2 linked regions of the Diceros bicornis minor genome follow. The protein of the gene in region 2 interacts with the protein of the main gene of each other region in a pairwise test. Links are inferred from orthologs where the notes say so. Each region holds a gene or a part of one and is shown on either strand. Other genes may lie near its edges.

Evidence for each region. The genes of interacting proteins can lie anywhere in the genome.
Region 1: the proteins of ZGPAT (region 2) and DHX15 interact in binary tests that used the Homo sapiens proteins (3 or more experiments, as listed by UniProt). The two-hybrid records come from large-scale screens. The link is inferred for Diceros bicornis minor from reciprocal best matches to the Homo sapiens genes ZGPAT and DHX15.

What each region holds. Positions count from the first base shown.
Region 1 is NC_080747.1:19,849,624-19,857,511, forward strand, and holds the start of DHX15 (ATP-dependent RNA helicase DHX15), read right to left. Parts: upstream 3,096-7,888; 5' UTR 2,999-3,095; coding exon 2,928-2,998; intron 1-2,927.
Region 2 is NC_080758.1:499,951-507,842, reverse strand, and holds the start of ZGPAT (zinc finger CCCH-type with G patch domain-containing protein), read left to right. Parts: upstream 1-4,869; 5' UTR 4,870-5,015; intron 5,016-5,271; 5' UTR 5,272-5,420; coding exon 5,421-5,974; intron 5,975-7,892. Other genes in the region: ARFRP1 (ADP-ribosylation factor-related protein 1), read right to left, coding at 3,540-3,622, 3,845-3,932, 4,166-4,421. UniProt on the Homo sapiens protein: Transcription repressor that specifically binds the 5'-GGAG[GA]A[GA]A-3' consensus sequence. Represses transcription by recruiting the chromatin multiprotein complex NuRD to target promoters.

The DNA.
Region 1 (7,888 bases), on a different chromosome or scaffold from region 2:
ATGATACTCCTTTACAAGTGCAATACTATGCAGCCAATGAAAACGGTAATGTATATCTATTCTACAGGTGATAACATATTTCTGAGTGAATAAAAATCAAAGCACAAAACAACACATATTGAAATAACCCATTGATATTATGATAGTTCACATTTGTGAATAAAATGCAGAGATCTAAAAAAATGTTCCTCAAGGGACTAAGCATAAGCACAAAGACTTCAAGAAATTTTTTGCCTTTTCCTTTATATCTTTGCGTATGGACATTTCTTGCGTTCCCTGGGTCAAGTTACTTAACATCACCTACCTACATCACAAGAATGTAGTGAAAATGTGCTTATACACATAAGGCACCTAGAATAGTTTCAGGAGCACAGTATATTTTCAAAGTTTTTTCCATACTTCACTAGTAAGTTGTCTTTTGGTAATAATTTTATATGGAAAATTTTGTGGGATGATAGAAAAAGGAATAAGGTCACTATATAACAGAAACCTTTAACTTCTCTACCTGACCCCAAAATTAAAATATATCAGGAATAAATAAAGCCATATATAGTTTGGGAGCTTGAATATGAGTGAAATCTCCCAAGGAATTACCTTCCCCTCTCAGTATTGGGGAAATGGGACAGCAGTGTTTGGCAGTGGAGTTCACAAGACCAACAAGCCTACCCTCTCAGTAAAAACCACCTGCTAACTACCAGGACTTAAAAAACAAACAAAAACAAAACTTGCAAGATTGCATGGCAGTCAGCGAAAGCGACTTCTTAAATTATCAAATATTAAAGAAAAAAAGACCTGAACACTAATAAACATTGTAAGCCCAGTGCTAAAGAAAATTAGTTCTATGAGAAATGACATTCAAGTGACATAGAACTGAGTATACAAACTTCCCTCCAGAACCTCAGAACTCGGACTTTATTCCAAAGATGAACTCTCCTTCACCTACAGGTAGATGCCACATAATATCCAAGAGAATCATAAGGTCTAAAAAGTCCACATTTTTACTTAGGATATCTGTTTTGCAAGAGAAAGCGAGCAAGCCCACATACATATGGGACCACCAATCCCAAAAAAGCGTTTAAGTGGTGCACATACACACATTTATGAGTTAGTGAATTCATTCCTTCCCAGCATGTTTTGTTCCAATCTTAACTGTTGTGAGAGCTATCAGTTGCATCTTAGCCAGCAGACAAGCAATTTATTTTTGCTTCACAGAAACCAAGAACCAAGTGTTCCCTACTTTAACAACCCATTCTAAATGTCATTAAAATCGGCTGTAATGACTCTTAACTACAGTCATAGACTGTGTGCTGTAATGGAAAAAGCAAGAGGCTAAGAGTGAATATGAAAAGATCAAGGTTCTAGATCCAGCTGTAAACCACGTAAATTTGCACAAGCCACCTTAACAACTCTGAGTCTCCATTTCTAAGTCATTTCCAGCTCTAATGAGTCTGTGAGTGTAGCTCAAATGAGCTAAAGTATTGGAGTGGGAGAGGAGACAGCCTAAGAGAGAGAAAACTAATGTCTAACATTGAAAACTAAAAACCTTACAAGGCTAAAATGTTACATACTGTTGCTCTCCATATTCAACACATAGGAAGGTATCAAAAAGTACACTCTATCTCAGCTTATACTCTCGACATTAAACAAATACCTGGAAATCAACCCAAATGAAGGACTTTGGGTGAACAAAAACTCATATAAAAGTTACACAGACGACCTAACACAGTGATTCTGTACACGTACACACACAATAAAATGATAAAATTATGCTAAGTATTTGGATGTTCAGACTTTTCTATTTTTGCCTGAGTTATCCAAATAAATCTCTGTTATTTCAGGAATGAACACATATACCGGAGAAGACAAGATTCTGATGCAACTGCTCAAGTCAATTGTTAAATTCCCCTGTACGTTTAAGGAAACGCTCAAGGAAAGGAATCTGAAACACTACGAGTCTGAGTATTTCAACTCACAACCTCCCCAAGGGCGCTATTTTTCCATAAATACCAGAAACATTTTAGAAAAGCATCGGGTTTCAAAAGATGGTTATGAACGTGGGTGGGGGTGGGGGGTTAGAAAACAAGAACTTATTGGAAAAAATGAATGCCTTCTAACGCTTATCCCAGAGATCCTCCGAAACCACTGTTTTAGCCAAAGCAGGAAATAAAGGAGATGGCGGGAGCATAGGCAGAGAGCGGAAGTTTGCCTAGTATCTTCTTTGAAGTGTTTGAATGGACCGAGGCACGCGGTCTCCCGCCAAACTATAAACTCAGAGGCTCCAAACCAGCAGCCTTCCAGCCCATCAGGTATACTCCACGTTTTCCTTTCTCCCGGCAGGCCCTCGACTCTCCCTTCCCCCGAGAACTCCTGGTCTGCACGCCTCACTCAACTCCCGCCACCCCCATCCCAGCCTTCACGAGAATCCAAGCGCTTCTCTCACTTTCCGCCCCCGTCTTTCCCTTGCTGGCCCCCCAGCCGCCCGTCGAGGCCCTCTCCCCGGCCCCTCTGCCTGAGGAGCACCTGGTGTCCTTGGAAGTGAATACTCCCGCCGCGCCCTCCCCCACCCTGCTCGCCGGCCCCAAGCCTTACCCGGGAAGCCAGGCCACGCGGTCCGCGGTTCCCTCCCGCCCGCTCCCCTCGAAGCGACTGCCGCTTGGTTCGGCCCGGGGAGGAGGCGTCCTCGTGGCCACAGCAGGCCTCACCCGCTCCCGACTGGGCCGGGCGGCGGCCGCGCCACACATCCCGCGCCCTTGCCGGGCGAACGTCGGGAGTGGCGCCGCTGTCCCCGACCCGCCGCCTTGAGCCGAGCCCAGAGGGAACAAAGGGTCGGGCTCCGGGGCCCGCTCGGCCCGGCCGGTCCTGGCCCGCTCCCTGCCGGGACCCCAACAAAGCCCGAGCCGCTGCCTCGCGCCCCCGGCCTGGCTTACCCATCGGTCCCCGCACGCTTCTTGCCGGAGGGGTAATCCTCCCCCAGGTCCAACCGGTGCCGCTTGGACATCTTCGGACTCTTCGAGCGGACGGTCGAGAAGAAAGACAAAAAGAGAAGCTGGCGGCTGGATGGGCGCAGTCGAGGGCAGCTACTTAACTCCGGAGGACCCCCCCCACCCCTCCCGCTACAACAGCTTACACCGTGCGGCCGGAACCAGGAGCTAAAATGGCGGCGGCGACGAGGGCTGGGCCTGCGCGCGCGCGCTTCCGGAGCGTGCTCTGCGTGCGCGCGTAGCGCGCGCACGCATAGGAGGCGGGAACTCCCGCCTCGCCTGTGGCTTCTTTGGCCCGCCCTCCTTCGGGTGCTTTCCGCCGTCTGAGGAGCTGCTCGGTGGCGTGAGCCTTCGCGCACCTCTGTTTTAGGAAATTGAGAGGCGGGGAAGTGTAGTCCTATCTGTCTGTATTACCCTGGCTTTAGGGGACTCTGAGACCCGGAGAGGTTTAGAAACTAATCAAGATCACACAACTGATAAGGGACAGAGTGCCAGGATTGGAACCCAACTATTTTATAACTCCAGATCTAGAACTTGCAGCCACTGACCAGATGCTCTCAATTGCAGTTAAGAAACTAAGGTGAGAAAAATCTCAAGACTTGCCATAATCCATTTTGGCCTTATTTTACCCACCACGGGCAACATGCAGTCAACATTGGTGTAATTTTTATTGGAATAAAGAAAATTGACAGTAAGGGCATAATAAGCTTTTTTTTTTCTGTGTGCCTATTATGGGCTTTCACAGTGTTAACCCGAGCTCTGTCCTCATTGTTACAGGAACCCTGCAAGGTAGGTGTTATTTTATAGATGTGGACACTAAGCCTGAGGGAGATTAAGAAGTCACACAGCCATTAGGGCTGTCCTTAAAGCCATAGCAAAGTGATGGGGTAAGATGACATGATTTTTGTGGATCTCTCCAACCGGAACCTATTTGCTTGCTCAGTTGCAATCATTCCCAGAAGAAATGCACAAGAAAAAGATCTGTGGACCAGCCCAAGCTGGGTCATCTGTGTAGTTCATGAAATGGCTGTTTGGCTACCCTGGAAGACCATATTCAGGTTCTTATCAAGTCCTCAGAACTGCAATCGCTAAGGTTAAATACAACTTTAATATTGCAACTGATAAAGAGGGTTTTTATTTTTGAAGCAAATCCACATTCCAAAGTCAGTGCGAAGAAAAGTGAATATTTTCACGTAAAATATTCACTGCTACTTTCTACCCTAAATGTACATTAACAGTATGTATACTGACTTTAGTCAGAGATCATGATGCATAATCGCTGAATTGTAAACCTGGAAAAGAATTTCCAGCTGATTTTCTGCAACATTTTACATACAAGAAAACCTGAGCCCCTAGGTCATGCCCACGTTCATGCAGCAAGTTAGTGTCAAAGTCAGAACTAAAATCCAGATTTCACTCTATGCCAGTCCCAGGTCTCCAGATTCCCAGTTTGAGGGTTTCTATAAAGTACTCTAAAATTTTGGCAAAATAATGAGGGAAAAGTTTAGAATTCTACCTGCAGAAGTGCCCCCACCCTAAGAGGCATCAGCAGGGAGACTTGGTAAAGGAGGAACTGAAATCAGAGTAATAAGACTTCCTCCTTGGGCTTAGGGTATATCTAAAGAAAAGTGTAACCTAATCAATTTTGGTGTAACCTGAATGACTGAAGAAAGGCCATATTTACCAAAGGATAGTGCCCTTTCTGGAATCTACAACAAGGGGAACCAAGGGCCAGAATCTGCCAGGATGTTCACACTCCCTGAGGTCTAGATGACTTACTCTGGATTTTCAGGCAGAATTGTCCCTATAGCAGAGAAGAACCATCCATCAAGGTCCCCTACAGCTTCCTGGAAATGTTACCAGAGAATATTTCCTTTACTCTTACTTTTTGTCTATTAGACAACCCTCTGATCTGTTATTTGGTCTGTGGCATGAATTTATTCAAATAGAGAAAATGTCTTATGCAGCTAACCAGCTCTAGGTGTCAAGCCAGAGGTGTCTCCCAACCTAAATTAATAAACAATAATGATTATGGCAAACACATAGAAAGCACTTACTGGGTACCAGACACTGTTTCTTATATATTTTAACCTATTTGATCCTTACAACAACTTTGACACTCGTTTACAGGTGAGGAAACTGCTGTACAAAAATGCCAAGTATTGTGGCAAAGATGACAGTTCTAGGATTCATCTCAGATAGTTTGTGTGCTTAAGTGCTACGCTGTGCCGCTGATGATGAATAGGTATTCTTATTCCACATTATTCTCCGAGGTTTTTGAGGATAAGTTCCCTCAATCTGACGAACTCAGTGTGAACTGATAAACTGAAGTTTCTACGTTGTCCAAGGGGAGGACTCATTTACACAGCTTTCGATGGACAAGTCAAGATTTAAAGGATTTGAATCCAGTAAGACTCCAGAGCCACACTATTAACCACTACCCTGTATCACTACTATCTATCCTTTAATTACTTCATTTGCTTATTCACTCACCAAATATTTATTAAATCCCCATGTCAGGCATTGAGTTAAGAGCTGGGGAGAGAGGAAAGAACAAAATAGCCACAGTTCCTGCCTTCATGGCACTTATCAGAGGGACAGAGACAGGCATGAAACAATGAAACACATAACTACATTGTTACAGCTCAGATAAGTGCTAAAAAGGCCATCTAAAGGGGACAGGTGCTATGAGAGCATATAACAGGTGGCCCTGATCCAGAGTGAGGGTTAGGGAAGACCTCTCTGAGAAAGGGACATTTAAACAAAGACCTAAAAAATGAGTACAAATTCGTCAGGTGAAGAGGAAGGAAAGCATTCCAGGCAGAGGGCACAGCCTGTGCAAAGGCCCTGAGACTTTAAAAAGTCAGGTGCAATCCATAGACAGAACAACATGAGTGCAATGAGATGAAGATGACATGATCTTGCAGATGCAAGAAGGGGCCGTATCATGCAGAGCCTGAGGAGTCCTGCTAAGGATATTAAGAGTTTATCCTTCCCAAGAGCAATAAGAAGACATCAAAAGGGTTTAAGTAGGACAACGATATGATCACTCATGAGAATTTGCCAGGATCATCCCACCAATCTCACTCTGAATTCTCTTCAGCTGCAAAATGCTTACAAATTCAAAAGAATCTCCACTACTGCTTTTAATCACCCTATCCTCACTCTACCATTTAATAGATAGAAATAGTTACAAAGTGCGGTCGGCACTGTGACTTGGCATGGAAATCCTGCTTCAAGAATGAAAAACATCCCTCACTTCCTGGGAGTGCTACCTGCAGACAACCTTCAGCTGTCAGCTCCCTTCAAAAACTTCATTGGCTAAAGAGAGCTGCCCAAGGGCAGTCTGAATATATTGTGGAGGTATAAGCGCCTAGCCCCTCTCCCCAGCTTGGGACAACTGTGAGCTTCAGAGCATCAGAGCTCTCTGTGGGATCATCTCAGGCCATTGTTATAATGGTATCTTCTATACTGCAATGCAGTTTGGTCACTAACCACCCAGAGGTAGCTCAGACCCCACAAGTTGGGAGCACAGTCCCCAACAAGACTGCCCTCACTCCAGATGCCATCCACAAGTTCAGGAGTCCCCAGGCCACCTACCCTTCTCACCAACTGGCTACAAATTCCCACAAGTCCCTCAGGTTCACTGATTTGCTAGAATGACTCACAGAACTCAGGAAAGTGCTATACTTGTGATTACAGTTTTATTATTATGGATACAAATCAGGACCAGCCAAATGAAAAGACACATAGGGTGAGATCTGGGAGGGTCCTGAACACAGAGCTTCTGTATCTTCTTCCTGTGGAATTAGGATATGTCACCCTCCTGGCACTTCAACATGTTCAGAAACCAGGAAGTTCCACTGAGCTTCAGTATCCAGAGTTTTTATTGGGGTTTCATTACCTAGCTATAATTGATTGAATCATTGGCCCTATGATTGAACTCAATCACCAGCCCCCTTCCCCTCGCTGGAGGTCAGGAAGTCAGGCTGATATCACAAGGCTCAAAGCTTCAACCCTTTAATCACATGGTTGATCTTTCTCACATGACCAGCCCTCATCCTGAATCGTTTCAGTAGCATAAACTCAGATGTGGTCCAAAGACCCACCATAAATAACAAAGACACTCCTATCACTTGGGAAATTACAGGGGTTTAAAAGTTACCTCTCAGGAACCGAGGACAAAAGCCAGTCAAATCATTTATTATACAATAGCATCACAGCACAGTTTTTCCCTCTGTCTGATCCTGCCTTCATCTCTTCCCTTCCACTGGTGTTGATCGTTGTGGACTCCTTAATAAACTTCGTGAATCCTAATCTTTTCCTCATGTGTACTTTTCATGGAACTCAACCTAAAAGATTTGGTGCCAGGAATGGTCCAAGAAAGCAGACACTATGACTGGATTTGGGGGTTGGCCACTGGTTGCTGGCCCACAAGGAATCAGTGGTGGCAGGTAGAATATAGCTACCACAAGAAAGCAGGGCAGTTGTTAAAAGTTTCAGCTGTGGGAAAGAGCATGTGGTGTGCAGCGAAAGAGCATGCGTTGTTCTCAAATTATGGGGGAAAGAGTAACTATAAGCACATTGGAATTTGACGGCTATTGCTATGTAGAATTGATACTTTGGAGGGAGGTAATGAAAGGCTGAGAGTGATTAATCTGCAATTCAAAGCTAAGTGTGAAAACCAGAAGACCTTCTGGGGAGCGTGTGAAGAGGTTCTCATCTCCTGCAGTGGGAAGACAGAGAAAACTGAGGACCGGTCCCAGGACTTAAATATAACAGTAGCAGAAAACCAAGTGGGAACTTCTAAAGAAGGTTAAACTCACCACTTAGGCAGGCATGATGTCAAGGTTAGGGCCCTGGTTGGGAAAGGGTGGGACTCTGACACAGGGGATGGGGACATTTAG
Region 2 (7,892 bases):
CCCCACACCCCGTCAGGAAGGGCTTGCTGACCTCGGGTGGGGAGTGGCCACCTCCCCCCCACTTCCCGCTGCCGCACACCAACCCCACTTCAGCGTCTGCTCCTGAGAACCACCCATGACCACCGCCTGCTGGTGGCCAGAAAGGAAAGATGGGGCTTGGGGGCTGGAGGAGCCCAGACCAAGCCCATCCCTCTGCAGACCTGGAGTTGGAGAGAATGCACTGATGGGGACTTGTGCTGGCACAGACAGCAAGCCTGGCAAGTGTGTCACTGACAAGCCCTGGAAAGACCACTGAGGGCTGAGGCCAGCTCCACACCAGCAGCAGCTCTGGCCCCTACACAGAATGGCAGGGCCAAAGACCAAACCAGCATCACTAAGCTCAGAGCTCTGCAGGCCAGACTGGTGCCAGGAGGGCAGTCAGCCCTGGGCTTGCTGACAGCAAGTGTCACAGGATCCCCTACAACAGTTAACCACCAGAGCCTGGGGACAGCTAGGGGACAAAATGGAACATAGCACCCCTCAGAAAAGATAGATACACAAAGTGGGGACATATGAGGGACAGACCCACTGGGCGCGGGGCATGAGGGATGCAGCCACAGGTCTGGCGAGTCCACCCTCTATCCTAATCAGACCACCGGAAGCACCCGCATTCAGGAGCACCTTCGCCACTCTGCCCCAGCTCTCCTGCCTGTCACAAGACCCCAGGGACCTGGAACATCCACATTGACTCCTACGGCAAGGCCGTTCCACTAGCTGGGCAGGACTAGCCAGCGGTCAGCGAGCTGAAGGCCCTGGTGATGCATGTGTTCCAGGGGGTGGGAGACACCCGGGGAGACCCAGGCCTGGCAGCTCTGGACAATTCTTAGGGTATAGTGAGCAGGCTACCCCGACCCCAGCACAAGACAAGCTCTTGTATATGCATTTGCTACAAAAGAGAAACCCAACGCAGCCCTCCTGGGTCCTGCAGGCCATCAGTCCCGCACACAAAAACTTCTCCAGCCTACATACTAGGCAAGGTGAGGACAGTGGGCTGGCCGTCTTGGGGCTGACACAGGGAGCTGGCAGGCCCTACAGCGGAGGTCTCCGTGGCAGCAAGCCCAGTGAGACAATCACCAGGCAGCCCCTGGGGCCCCAGGGAGTGGCAGAGGACTTCTGGCATGCAGCTGGGCCCTGGCAGACGGATGCTGGAGCTGCCACCATACCCAGTGGATGTCAGGTGATGATCCAGCAGTGGTGGCAGCGACAGGAGAGCACACCTGGGGCTCAGTGTGAACAAGCCCAGGGGCACAGCAGGCTGCTCTGGCCCCACAGCACTCGCCACGCTCCAGACCCTGATGGCTGCATCACGTGTGGCCACGTGGGGGGATCCCACACAACCAGCAGAAAGAGGGAAGGGCTCAAGCTTGGCTTCTGGGTGGGCCCACACCAAAGGTCTCTTAGGTGTGGCCTAGAGGAACAGAACAGAAGTCCTCCCCGCGGCAGAGCGCCAGTGGTCCCCCTGGTCCCGCTTGTGTGGGCAGACGCGGCCCAAGGCTAGCATGCACACAGACCCATAGGCAGCAGCACACAGCCTAGATGAAGGTCTAGGGCAGACATGGAGCAGTGGACATGGGGAGTGAAGGTCCACCAGACATCTGCCGGGGACAAAATGACTCGACTGGCCCAATACAGTGCTGCGGTGCTGGACCACATGGGGGCCAGGGCCCAGGACGCAGCATCGGGGAACGGGGAGGGGAGTAAGAACTCCACTTCCCATCCCCCCAGTGACCCACAGGGGACTCCACTGCTCCTTCCCAGCTCTGGGCTCTACAGGGCTGGGGGTGTGGTCAGCACGCTCACCAGGTGCATGGCAGGAGACCTGCTGAGTCACAACCCCTGGCTGCCTCCTGGGCACACTGGACAACCCGTGTCCAGGGCCCAGCGGAGACCCCTCTCTGGCAGGAGGTAACTGACCCCATCAGCAGGAGGTGGGGCGCCCACTCCACAGCAAGCCAGAGAGCACATGAGGAACCCAGGGGACCACCAGAGAAGGCGACCTCAGCAGTCAGGGCTCAGCCCCTCATGATGAAACCATGGCACAGGCAGAAGTAGCAGTGCAGGGGGCCACAACCAGCTGCAAAGCTGGCCTGTGGTGTGGCTTGTCCCTCTCCTCCCTCTTCCAGCTTCCCCTCAGGAGGAAGCCCCAATCTTGGAGGAACTGCTCCCCAAGGCAAGGGCATGGATGCAAGCGTAGCACAGTGGGTGGTGGCCAACACAAGAACCTGCCACCTGCTGCAGCCTTGCTGCCCAGTGGCAGGCAGTGTACCCAGTGATCTGTCTCTACTTGGCTCCTGCAGGACCCACTTTGATCCACAGAGAGCCTCCTTACCAGATCACAGCTGCCCAGGGCAGCCCACCATGGTGACCCCCCAGGCAGTATGGAGTCCCAGCCAGCTTGGCCTGACAGTGGGCAGCTGTGAGCAGTTTTCCTCCAGGGCTCCCCACTGGGCCAGCCACAGTCCCTCTGGCCCCAGCACCCGAGCTGACCCCTCCCCCTGCCTAGTCCCATGTCCTCTTGGCTCCCTTCCCAGGTGCTGGTCACCAACACGAACCCTGCACCCCAACCTCCGTCTCAGCACCTGCTCTTGAGACCCTTGCCTGTGACACAATGGTGGAATCTGTTTCACTCCCCACACGGGTCTGGGGTTCGGACAGTAGGCTTGGCTCTTCCTCAGTCCAACTTAAATGGCCACAGGGAGCCTGTCAGTCACCTTTTGGCAACAGAATGGAAGCTGCTCTCTTGGCTAGAAATCAGAGCAAGAGAAAATGCTTTGGAAAAGGTGACTGGGTACCTACTGCTAGAGTCAAACCAGAAATGAGAACCAAGGCACTCAGTTCTAAACACATAGGCAACCAACAAGTACTGGGGCGGGCATGTCTGCACCAAACCCACCATGCCAATCCATTGGGACAGGGCTGCCTAGGGAAGGAGCTAGGTCTGTCCCATTCACCGCTAGACCCCAGTGTTGGGCACAGGCTGAGCTGGAGACAGACTCCAGTCTTGAGGTTTGGGGGGAGGAGCACCACACTGGGGTCTCAGAAATGCCCGAAACTTATATCAAAAGAGGATGCAGTTGCTGTGGGTCTCTGAGGACATCCTCCCGGATGGGGAAGAGACCACCACGGAGTACAGGTCCTAAGCTAGGATTGAAGGAGAGGGACCCAGCGGGGGAGACGCAGGCCCTGCTGGTGGGGCCGAGTACTGCAGGTGTGGTGCCTTCCCTACATCTGTTTCTTGGCCATCTTTTGTCTCGTCCTGGGGTGAGTAGCAACGACAATCTCTAAGCCAAAATGAACCAAGTGTGTCCTCACTGCTGGGGGAGGAGTGCGGGAACTGGGATAGGACTGGGGGGGTGCTCAGGAACAAAGTGGGTGATGGCGGCTGCTGACAGGAGGGAAGGAAGGTGAGCCTGAGGCTTTCTGAGGAGAGGAAAAAGCCCAGGGGTGCCACCTGGGCAGAAATGGCACAAGGGGCAGGCGGTACGCGGCATCTATCTTACCTTGTCCCACAGAGACTGCAGCTCTTCCTGCCCCCCTAAGTCCCAGAACAGGAGGCGAGCCTTTCCCACATCCACAGTGCCAACTGGGAGAAGAAAACAGGCAAGGCTGTGGCCTTGGTCCCTGACACACCATCTCCCAGCTCTCCGGGGGCAGAGGCCACTCTGGTGCTCCTCGAGGACCAGCCGACAGAGCTGGAGCAGAGGCCTCACACACAAGGCTCTGCTGCCTGCCTACTGGCCTGAGGACGTCACAGCATCCTGAGGGGTCTGCCCCCCAAACCCACAGCCCTAAGGGATCCCCTTACTGTTTAGACCCACGGTGGTGGTGATTTTGGATAGACTCATCCCCTTGTAGTTCTTGTTGAACCGGGTTTTTGACTGCTCCAGAAAGGTCTGCGGAGCAGGAAAGAGGCATTAGATAAGGACTAGAGATGTTTTCAAGTCTGTTTTGCTAATGTCTTTCCTTAACCCATTCCTTTAAAACAAAACAAAACACAACAACGTTTTGCTTTTAAAGCAGCTTGTGGTGACCATCCCGCGGCCTTAAATGGGGTTTGGATTCTGTCCAGGTGGTGGGCATACTAGTAAAGGCACAAACCAAACGGAGAGGGAGCGCAAGCACGCACCGTCTTCCCGGCATTGTCCAGACCCAAGATCAGGATGCAGTACTCGTCCTTCTGAAACATGTACTTGTACAGGCCCGACAGCAGCGTGTACATCCTGCCCTGGGCACCGCGAGAGACCAGTCACGACGCTCCGACCGGCGCCCGCCTGCCCTGCCTGCTGACAGCCCAGATCTGGTCCGGAGCACTCCCGACTCCTCCCGCCGCCCGTCCCTCTTCGGTCTCCCCACTCTGCCCTCTTCCCCGTAACTCTCTCCATCCCTCCGGACCGCCGGCTGGTGTCCTCGCCCCAGGGCGCTCCTCCTCCCCAGTCACCGCCGGGCCTCCCTCCGCTCCCCGAGCCTCAGGCCGGTCAAGGCCCCACGCCCTCCCGAGCCCCCCGGGCGCTCCCACTCCGGCCCGCAAGGACGAGCCACCCCTGCCCGCCCGGCCGGAGCCCGGGAAACAGCGGGAACCCCGGACGCCCGCCTCCGGGAGCCGGGTGCGTGTAGGGGGCGGCCTGGGGCGGGCAGATGGGGACAAGCCGCCCCGCCCGGGGCCCCGCCTCCCGACGCCCCGACCGGACACCGGCCTTCGGGGCCCGCCGGCCGGCCGCCGAGAGCTGCTCCGGATCGGCCGCCGGTCCTCGCCGCGACCTCGGACCCGCCCGGGAGGCGAAGAACCTGCCCGTCTACCTACGCCCGCCGGCCGCCGCGCCTGAGCCCGCGGACCGCTGACCCCGCGCGGCGCCCGACGGGACACGGGCCTGCTGTCCCGGCAGCCCCCACGCAGGCACTTCCGGTGGCGGCCGCGCTCGGCAGGAAGTGCGCGTTGGCGGCGAGGGCGGAAGCGGGACGCCGGGCCGCTCTAGCCGGTGAGGCGGCGGGCTCTCTATGGCCTGGCGGGGGCGCGGAGGACCGAGGGAGCCCGGCGGCGGCGCCCCGGGCGGGCAGACGCGGCGTGGGGCCGCGGCCGGGCTCCGGCTGTGGCTCTTCCGCTTGGAGCCGAGAGCCGTTCCCCGCCTGTCTTCTCGTCCCTGCGGCGGGACCGCGGGCGGCCCTGAGGGTGGCCTGGGGGCCCCGCGCCCGTCGGCTCAAGCTCCGCCGGCTCACCGGCTTCTCTCCCCGCAGCGCCGCCTCCGGAGGATCCGGGCCGACCCCCAGGATCCGGGCCGACCCCCAAGGACCAAGCCATCCCCCGAGGACCAAGCCATCCCCCGAGGTCCCGGGCCGCCTCCCCCGACGACCGAGCCGCCCCCCGAGGACCGGGCGCCCCCGGGATGGACGAGGACAGCCTGCAGGCCGCCCTGCAGGCCCACGGCGCGCAGCTGCGGCAGGTGGAGCGGGCCCTGCGCGCCGGCCTGGACGCCTCCGAGCTGGCCGACCTGCGCCAGCTGCAGCAGGACCTCAAGGAGCTGATCGCGCTCACGGAGGCCAGCCTGGTGTCCGTCAGGAAGAGCAAGCTGCTGGCCGCGCTGGACGGCGAGCACGCGGCCCGGGACGAGGCCGAGTACCTGGCCTTCCAGACGGCGGTGGCCGAGGCCGTGGAGGCGCCGGGAGCCCCGGGGGCAGAATCGGAGCCTGTCCCCGAGAGAGAGGCCGGGCCGGAGGAGGCCGGCGGGGAGGCCGGCGGGCTGAGCGGGCGGAAGGTGAGCGCGCCCTACCGCAGCCCCTGGGGCACCCTGGAGTACCACCACGCCATGGTGGTGGGCGCGGAGGCGGCGGCCGGCGGCTGCGCGGGCGTGCGCGTGCTCTATCTCTACCCCACGCACCGCGCCCTGAAGCCCTGCCCGTTCTTCCTGGAGGGCAAGTGCCGCTTCCAGGAGAGCTGCAGGTGAGCGCGGGCCGGCGGGCGGGCGGGCGGGCTCGCGGCGTGTCCTGGTCTGTGGTCTGTGTCTCCCTGGGTTCCCTCGGGTCAGTCGGGAAGGAGGCACCTTCTTCGCGGTGAGACCTCTGCAGTGTCCGTCCGTCGTGGAAACTCGCCCGCGCGAGGTTAGGGAGCGCGGCCGCCCGCGCCGTCCTTGCCGGCCGTCTCCTCCCGTCTGTCCTCCTGCCTTGGTTTTTTTTCCTTGGACTACTTTAAAGCGAATTCTGGAAGTTGCTAGTTTTTTCACCTATAAATAGTTAAGAATGCACCCCTAATCTAACTGACAAGGACGTCATAAAAAGGTCATCTCCGTGTCGCCGTTGCGCCCGACAGAGGGAACCGCAGTGCCCCGTCCCTGCTGACGTTTCCACGGCCCCTGTGACGGTGTCTTCTTTTTCTCAGGGCGCGACTTTGATTTTGCTCCTTCGTGCTTTGTCTTGAGAAGGAATATTGACTGAAATTTCTAGTAGATAATTCTCTTTTTTAGCCAATAGTCCAGGGTAACTGTCTCTAGCTCTTTGGTCGTGTTATTTCCTTATAGACTTTTGCAGGGTCCCAAGTCTTATCTGGTACGTCTCCCTTCCTTCCTTCTTTCTTTGTAAGTTTTATTAAAGAACAGCACACATACAGGTTAGCACGTAGATCATGAGGGGACTTGGAGAGCTTTCAGAGGAGACACAGCCTGTCCCCAGTACACATGTTAAGTAAGAGACGTAATGTTTCTATCCTTTTTTCCCTAGTCTCTGGGGGGCACGTCCACATGTGATGTCCCCTGTGGTGGTGAGAGCTGGCATGTCCATGTGCTGCTTCCTCTGGGACAGGCACTTTCCTCGAGTGTCACAGTATGGACTGTGTCTAGTGTCCCCACGAGGTGGCCTGCCACCACTCAGGGTGCATGGTTCCGAGGGGCGGAGCTGGGGCCCCAGCAGTCTGGCTCTGAGACATCCCCACTCGCCGTGATTTGCGCTGTCAGCTTTAGGCCCCACCGACACATCCTACACACACCCACCTCGCATTACTCAGCACTGCTAAGTTATTTACTTGCATTTGGTTTAGATTTTTAAAAATACAATAAAATAGACAATGTTGAAGCACTCTTTGACCACTCTCTGCTGCAGTCCCCTCTCTGTCCCGGGAGGCTGTCATTGTCACACTTGGGTGTGTATCTCTCTAGCGTGTGTTAGTTCTTTACAGGCATACGTGTGTCTGTAAGTGGTACATGTCTGTGCTTTGTTGTCTAAGTGGTGTCATACGGCAGTTCGTCCTGCACCTTGCTGTTTCCGCTAAGCGTGTTTGTGAGAGACCGCCGGGTTGATGTTTATAGAACTGTTTCATTCATTTTCACTGCTGTGTTATCTTCTTTCATGTGAATATACCACATTTTACTCACTCTGTCCCTTTCTGATGTTTTCCAATTTTTATTTGTTACAGTGTGCTGTGAACATCCTAATACTGTCTTCTTTTGTAACTGACGAGAATTTCCCTAGTGTGTAGCCAGCGTGGAGAGTGTGTGCAAATTTTCTGTTTTCATGTGATGTATGTTTCCTAGTCCCTAGTCTTCTCCACAGTCACCTGCAGTGACATTATCCGACTTGCAGATTTGTGCCTATTGAAAGCTGGGAAAATGGTGTCTTGACTGAATTTGTATTTCCTTGATTACTGGCGAGATTGAGTTTCTTTTCATATATTTGTTGTAACTTAATCTCTATATTTCAGTCTCCTTATCTGTAAAACAGAGATGAGAATCATCTTTCACAGTTGTTGGGAGAATGGAGTGCGTTAATATGTGTCAAGAGTGTAGAGCAATACCTAACATACAGTTAAGCACACAGTAGATTTTTAGTTCTTACGTTGTTATTGTAAAATAAAATCGGATACAGGAAGT